Linked DNA regions of Canis lupus familiaris. The protein of the gene in region 2 interacts with the protein of the main gene of each other region in a pairwise test. Links are inferred from orthologs where the notes say so. Each region holds a gene or a part of one and is shown on either strand. Other genes may lie near its edges.

Region 1 (4,397 bases), on a different chromosome or scaffold from region 2:
TCCTTGGAAATGCGGGCTGCAGTGCTGGCAAGAGAACCAGAGTACAGTCCCCCAACCAGCTTGTGGGAATGGCTCTTCCAGAAAGATCAGCCCACTTAAGAGCATCCCTGATATTTATACCAAGACGCCCATCAACAGTGACACTATCATGGGGAGAAACGGGGTATTTCACAGTTTACTTAATATTTATTTGACTTCTCGTTTTACAATTAGCATATCATTTGATAATTAAAAATAACCTGTTTTGTTAGTATCCATGCTTTGAACCAGGAAGCTCCACTTTTTAGAATGCATCCTAAATAATCAGAGATGGAAACAAAGATGTTCACCACAGGATTCTTGATAATGGTAAAAAAGAAAAACTGCAAAACACATGTGCAGGAAGTGGAAACTAAGGAAATTAAAAATCACACGCTGACACACAGGAGTTTTTTTAAGTGGTCTGCAGTATTTAAATTAAGTTAAAAAAAGCTGACCATAAAATATAAAATACAAGATTATCTCAACTTATAAAACTAAAAACATATAGCATGCATAGAAAAGACAAGAAAATGGGCCAAAACGTGAACATTGAGCTATCTAGAAATGGATTACAAGTAATTTATCTTCTTTTTTGTTTTGTTTTTTTACTTTTTCCAAATTTCCCTCCATGAGCACAAATGGCTTTCACAGAAAATACTAGTTGGAAAAAAAAAGAACACACCACCAGTGGAAACCACTCCCCTCCTAGGGTCTCCCTACTACAGTGCTTGGGTGTGTGTGGGGGGGTCTCTTTCTGGAATTACCTGGTCAGCCTGCTCGGTAAATGAGTCTGTCATTTTAACCACCACGCTAGCACTGGCCTCTTCATTCTCCACCACATCAATGCTGGCAACCCACTGGCGTGAAAGAGAAAACAGCTTTGGTCAAGAGACAATAAGTTGTCATTCCATTAAAGATCCACATCCAGAAATGGGGGCAGTGGAGACAGATAAGAAGCTTAAAAGAAAACCCGCTAGAGAAAGGATCTCACTACTGACCTCTTGGGATCCTTACAGGGACATCTGGCTTCAGCCGGCCTACCCCTTACCCAGCCCCAGCCCAGCCCATCTCATCTGCCTCCAAACACCTCACCTTCCTCCTCCACTCTCACCTCTGAAGACAAACCCTGCACTTCTAGAGACCCTTAGACCAGGGGTCTGCAAAAATCTTTGGTGTAAAGGGCCAAATATTCTGCTAGCTTTACGGTCTGTGTTGCAAAAACTCAGATCTGCTATTGGAACCCCAGAGCAACCACAGACAATACAGATACATGAATGGGTGTGGCTATATTCCAATAAAACTCCAGAAATGTGAATTTCGTGTAATTTTCACATATCACAAAATAGTATTCTTTTTTTTTTTTTTTTTCTCCCATTTAAAAATGTGAAACCATTCTTAGTTCTTGAGCTGTACTGGCAGGCCAGGTTCAGCCTTTGGAGGACTAGTTTTCAGACCCCTGCCCCAGAGCACAGAGGGATGGCTCTGGGTCCTCATCCTGCAGTATTGTGGCTTTCTCATGGGGGTTAACAATTAACAAGGCTAGTGTGAAAATTAACTGAAAAAGCTCCAAGCACAAGTGACACCCAATTCTTTCTCAGAAAGTTCCCAGGGCCCCAAGGTCCACAGGCCCTGGAGATAAGTATCTCTACCACAAGCTTTGAAGAACACAGATTCCATTCAAGAACACTCACTACTTCCATGTCACCAGCCACAGGGGACACAGACACATACACCAGGTTGTAGCCCCTCCCAGAGCTGCTAGAAATGAAGGGGTAGGGAGGGGAGACAGTCAGAGGTAAATCAGCTTGCCAGATTTTACCAAGTGCCCCCACCAGGGGAACTCACAGCCCTCATATCTGTAACACATGGATACCAACAGGATCTGCTATATCCAAATTTGGAGAAGAGTAAATGAAATTAAGAGTATGTAGGAACACGGTGCCTCGCCCCTGGCCAACACTCCTTACAAGTTCCCCACTGTCACCCCTCAGACCCTGGAAGGCGCCTGTTGAGAGCAGGAAGGCGGTGGTGTGCTGAGAATCCCTTAGAAGTCCTATATCAGGTTCTGAGCTGGAAGGAAACCCTGGGACCCTGTCTCCCTGGTTCCTGCCGCTACTAACTAAACCCCCGAGGCAAAGCTCCCCAGATCTCCAGCACATTTTGTGCAAGTGACAGCTGCGGCGAGGAGAGACAGGGCGGAGTCTCCACCAGGATCGCAGAGAGGGTCTCGGGCCAGAGGTCAGCGCCACCCCTACTTGCACCCTACGGGGAGCAACACCTGACGATGCAAAGTAGTCGAAACAGTCTTCGCAAAACAAGAAGCCACCAGCATTTGCGGGGCTCCGCCTTCAAAATACCAGGTCCAGAGTGGACCGCAGGAACCGGGTAGTTATGGTAATACTCATGGCTGACATTTAAAGAGTTTTTACCACGAGTCAGGTGCTTTACAACCACACCAGTGATCTCATTCAAGGCGCACAATGCCCTAAGGGGTAAACACTAACGTTACCTCCATTTTACGGATGAGGAAAGTGAGATTCGAGGGCGTGACGCAACAGCGGCCCGCGCCTGGCAGTGAGATCCCAGAGCCGCCGCCTCGTTGTCTCTCCCCGACTCTCAAGCCCGCTCCTCTCCATCGCGCTCTGGAATTCTCTCGGGGCCTGGCCGAGCCCGAGCGAGCAGCCCCATCCCCCGCCTCCTTGCACAGCAAGGGCCGGGCACCGCGGGCGCAGCGTGGGCACACACGCGGAGCCAGCCAGCAGCCAGGCACACCTGCGATGCACGCGCAAGCACTCGGGCCGGTGCGCACACGGGCCCCAGCGCGGTCCAGCGCCCTCGCGGGCTGCCCGGGCAGGCCCCGATGCTCCCCGATCACCAGCGCGCACACCTGCCACCCAACACCAACGTGCCGCTCGCCCCAGCCGCGGGAGACCCGGCCCAATTACCCAGCTGCGGGCCCGGAACGCCTGCACGCATCGGGAGCCCAGCGCGCCCCTGCCGCCGTACACCAGCACCCGGCGCGCCTCGCCCGCCGCCGCCGCCATCCCGCTGCTCCCGCCCGGCTCGCCGAAGGCCCAACGCCCGGAGCCGGAGCGCGGCGCCCGGGGTCGCCCGGCCCCGCCCCGGCCCCGCCCCGGATCGCCCGGCCCCGCCCCGGCCCCGCCCACCGGCCAAGAGGGATCGCGCGGCCGCCAAGCCTGCGCGGGGCCCGCGGCTGCCGCCTAGCGCGCGGTCCCGCCGGACGAGCCCCGCCGCCCGCCTGTGGGTGCCCGGCACCTGGGGCTTGCAGGGCGCGGAGCTAAGGGCCCCCGGGGAGGGTGGAGAGCAGGTGTGCGCTCACGATGCCGAGAGTCCGTCGGGCCGACGGCACAAACCACGCATATATTTTACCTTCAAATAAGAGTGCAAGGGACGCCTGGGTGGCTCAGCGGTTGAGCGTCGGCCTTTAGCTCTGGGCGTGATCCCGGGGCAGAGGGCGGGGTGCTGGGATCAAATCCCCCATCGGGGGATCCTCTCCCTGAGAGGAGCCTGCTTCTCCCCCTGCCTATGTCTATGCCTGTCTCTGTGTGTGTCTCTCATGAATAAATGAATAAAATATTTTTTTAAAAAATAAATTAAATAAATAAATAAGAGTGCAAGCTCTGAAGCTCGACTCCCTGTCTAATAGCTGTGTGTCCCTACGCAACTTACTCGGCGGCTCTGTGCCACAGTCGCCTCTCGGTAAAATGGGAACGCTAATGGTCTGTCCTCCTAGGATTTTGGAAAGGATTTTTCAAAATGATACTAAAAACAGTGTGTGGCTAGTAGTAGGAGTTCAATAAATGCCGATTGAGCATTATTAATACTATTATTTTTGCCACTACTTCTGTTACATCACTGCACTTCTTAGAGATTGTGAGTTTGGGAGAAAGAAAATGCCAGGCTGTTTTAGTGGGGGCAGTTGGTACCATTTGGTGGGGCTTAACTGTGGGCCTTCAACATTCTTGTCAAATGGAGTCTTATATACAGTCACAGAGGTCCAAGGACACTATTATAGGACCTGCATCTTAAACTGTCTCTACCAGACCAAAGGCCTGCTGTCCCACGTGTAGTCAAATTTTTTAGAACTCTTGTAATAATTTTCGTGGTCTTATTGTTGTTGTTTCAAAAGCACTGATTTGTGAAGTGTTAAACATTTAAAGTATAGTATGCTACAATTTTTGTATCACTGTTTTGGCAATATTATACATGTTTTGTGTCACCCTCCCACCATACAGTGTTGTACAAAGCAGACACACAGATGTTTGCTCAATACACTTGTGCCAGATAAGGCACACAAAAATATGTTCTTAGGGAACAGGATGCAGCCCACAACACCATCTATTATCAGAAGCTTC
Region 2 (3,809 bases):
CTGGTTCTTTTTCAAAGCAGCTCACCCTGGGAAATACTACCACTCACAAGGGAACCCTGACCAGCCTGGTCTGCCCTTTTGTCTAGGACATCACATCCTAGCTCCACTGTGACTGCTGCACTTAGCTCCATATAGAACAACTGTCTGCCTTCTGCTCTAACCCCAGAAGGAAGTGGGATGTCACGCAGGAAGCTCCAGGAACTGCCAGATCGCCCAACTCACAAAGAAGATACATGTCATTTGTATCTCATGCTTTCAAACACCTTCATTAGTCCAGATGGGGTATGCAGTGTTTTACATGTATGTTTATAGCCCATCAGAGAAAGGAAGGACCAGAGCTTTACTCTTCCAATTAGTTGTCCACAATTAATGCAGCATGACCCATGGAGGGAGAGAGAGAAACACTAAAGGAATTACACCAAATGCTAGCTATTTCCACTTCACTTTTCAGAAACAAAACTGCAATCCTGGGGGAAAGGGCTTAGGGTCCACATTGATTCATAAACCAGAGTCCTCTCTTAGCCATCAATAATTGAAAATCAAGATAGTCCTTTTAAGTTAACAGAGTCAGTCCTCAGTTCCTTGTCCTTCACCAAGTCACTTGATATTTTGGCCTAGGAAAGAACTGCTTTCTGGCACACAGTCTTCCAAGGTACCAAAGGATGACTCAGTCTGCTCTCCTTCATCCTGCGAGCCTGCTGGGGAAGCAGAGCTGTGTGGTTCTCCCTGGGGACCGCCATGCAGCTCACTCCTCTGCATCTGCTCGGCTGGCAATCCTGGCTGCTCCACTTCCCTTTCCATTCCCATTCTGACAGCTTGCTTATTAAATTCAGCGTCCTATTTTAAAACCCAAATTCTATAACTCCTTGGCCCTTGATTAACTTTACAGGCAGAGACATCTGAAAATGACAGTACACCTAGCTCCCCCTCTGCCATTTTTACCTCTGCCTGTCTCCACTGAGACTGCCATACCAAAAGCCACTGAGCAAGCACTGTGGCTTGCAGGCTACTGAGCAATTCAGAGAAAGGCTCTGAGGGTGACAGGGAACATTCTGTTTAAGTCTGGCAGAGCATAATCTTTCAGAGAAGAGAAAAGCCCAGACTGCAGCCAGGGGGTGCATACTGGCAGGCCAAAAACTCATGCAGGAAGCAGGTATCAGAATCTCAGATCAGAGGAGAGAGATGGAGGAGAACGACTATCACAAGTGAGCACAACTTCCAAATTCAAACAAATACACACTCCCACCACCAGTGGAAAGGATATGTACACACTTCTTCTACAACTCAAGTGGCTCAAATCCTTGCTTGATGCACAAGAAACTCACTGACTGCCTGCATTCTGAGCACCATAAAAAAAAAAAAAAAGCAGCCATCTTCCTGAAACACTCTCTCCAAAACCAACCATTGGTTTCAAAAGGAGGTTAGCTTGAACCTTCTGAAGACCTAGTGACCAAATACCAGATGTACCTTAGTCCTCCATAAAAATGGAATGTGCCCTCATGTACCATCTACCCCCCTCACTGGGGCAGCTGCCAGTAATCGTCACACTCTTTGGAAATTACACTGGCAAACACAGACTTAAACAATGCTGCCAACAAACCAGAGGAACCAGGAGCTCTTCTCATGACATCTTAGGGTCATGGGGACTTTAGCAACGTCATTTCAAGATTCACTCCTTTCTTTCCTTCAAGGAAACTGAAAGCCGAAGAGACTGAGCCACTCCCAGAGCCGCACGGTACTTCAGCAGCCCTGTCAGTGGCATGTTCTTCCCACCCCTATCTCCACAGCTGGGCTGCAGGGGGTGCAGTGGGAGGGGCGGGGTTGGGAGGCTCCTCTATTCCCAGCTTCACCACAGAGCCCTAGCTGAAGGTGCTCTGTCTACAGAGGGATGTGCCAAAGCCTCAGGGGTCTTCCCCAGGCCCTCCCAGGTAAAGCCACAGTCAGCTCCTAATAGACAGCCATCACCTGGCAAGGCCAGGGCAAGGAGGCTAGTGACGGGGCGGGGGGGGGGGGGGGGGGGCAGTGATGACCCTGTCTCTTGGGGGTACCACTCCCCAAGCACCAGTGGTATCAAGACACCACACAAACTGGCATTTTGGTTTTCTCTTCTGCTACTAATAGATGCCCTAATTCCTAATTCCTAAATCTGAAGAAAAAGGCACTTCAGTCTTATGTCTGACTCAACAGAAAACTCTCATTCTTACAAATTTTCTGGAAACCAAGAAAAGAAAAAGAGAGGAAAGTCAGTACATTCATTTAGAGTAAAGCCGAAATCCAGGATAATATGTGTCCACGTTAGCTCAGGTTATGCTGCTTTGGTTTACAGAGCTGGATGTGACATCCTAGGCAAACGCTCAGGGCTCTTACTCCCTCAGCTCAAGGTGTCCTGTGGTAAAAACACTCAGGCCAACAGCTCTGACAGCCTCTACTTCCATTAACATTCAGAAGTGCTCCATGCCTCTGCAATGCCCAGAGGCAGATGACCAGAGACAGTGCTGTCATCCAGGTTAACCAAGGCACAAACCTCTCCAGAAGCTTCTTCTGGTAGAATCTGGAATAGAACTGAAAACACCTCCAGACTTTTGCTCTAAACTGTTAGTCCTCACAGAGGGAAAGGACCACACTTAACTATATGGTAAATGTGAATTTGACTAGCCAGTACAACCACAATCAACACTGGGCCAATTCTACCTTCCAGAATCTCAAAGCTGCATGGTTTGGGACTAGGGAGCCTGTGGATCTCCAAACACCAAAACAAAAAATTCAAGTAAAAGCCATTATAAAGGGCCCATAAAAGAATATGAAGCCATTTCTCTAAGACTTAACCAATGTGTTATAAAAATGATCTATGAAAGAGGATGTCAGCTATGGCTTCTACTTGGTTAGAACAGAAAGCAACATTAAAACCCTCTATGTTTATTATGCCATATTAGAAAAATCCCAATCCACCCATAATTTCCAATTCATATCTATATGCCACTAAAGATGGCAGTAAAGGGATTAGACATTAAAATGCAGAACCTAATGCGTACCTTTCAAAAGCAATATTTTTAGTATCGAGGCTGGTATTAATGACTGGGCTTGTGAGCCGCCTCTCAACTTCCCTGCCTTTTGGCTTCATCAAGTCCAGAGTGAGGCGCTCCATTTCCTGAGAAAGGTCAAAATGCTCAGTGGTGACCACTCTGTCATCATGGTTGACTTCCATCAGCTCTGCCCGGTTGTCTGTTAATGGAAACAAGAGTGTAACTGAGCACCATGCAAGGAAGATACAAAAACAAGGAAGGCTCAAAGTTAAAATACTGAATCATCTTTGACATTCCCCCCTCCCCCCCAGCCAAGTGCTATCAGATAAAACCTAAAGACTATTGATTATTGACTACCTACTTACATGGAGATTATCTGGCCAGTTTCCACAGCCCATAGGTCATCTTCCCCTAAGTTCCAGACATTTAAAACAATTTGCCTTCTTTGTTGGCAATACATCTGTGTACTTTTAAAAATGTATGATTTACTTAATTAATGTAAACTGTTTATGCACAACGCTGGACTGGCAATACCATTTTTCTCACCCTCCACTAGGAGGATCATGCCTTCTTATGGAGGGAATATATGGAGATATAAGACAGAGTCTCAAAATGAGTGGGAAAAATCAGAGAGGGTGACAAAACATGAGAGACCCCTAACCCTAGGAAACAAACAAGGGGTAGTGGAAGGGGAGATGGATGGGGGGAGGTAGATGGAGGGATGGAGTGACTGGGTGACGGGCACTGAAGGGGGCACTTGGAGGAATGAACATTGGGTGTTATACT

The links.
Region 1: the proteins of ANKRD13A (region 2) and QDPR interact in a two-hybrid assay, tested with the Homo sapiens proteins (2 studies listed by BioGRID). The two-hybrid records come from large-scale screens. The link is inferred for Canis lupus familiaris from reciprocal best matches to the Homo sapiens genes ANKRD13A and QDPR.

What each region holds. Positions count from the first base shown.
Region 1 is NC_049224.1:63,498,991-63,503,387, reverse strand, and holds the start of QDPR (dihydropteridine reductase), read right to left. Parts: upstream 3,092-4,397; 5' UTR 3,066-3,091; coding exon 2,967-3,065; intron 879-2,966; coding exon 786-878; intron 1-785. UniProt on the Homo sapiens protein: Catalyzes the conversion of quinonoid dihydrobiopterin into tetrahydrobiopterin.
Region 2 is NC_049247.1:17,499,183-17,502,991, forward strand, and holds part of ANKRD13A (ankyrin repeat domain-containing protein 13A), read right to left. Parts: intron 3,223-3,809; coding exon 3,033-3,222; intron 1-3,032. UniProt on the Homo sapiens protein: Ubiquitin-binding protein that specifically recognizes and binds 'Lys-63'-linked ubiquitin. Does not bind 'Lys-48'-linked ubiquitin.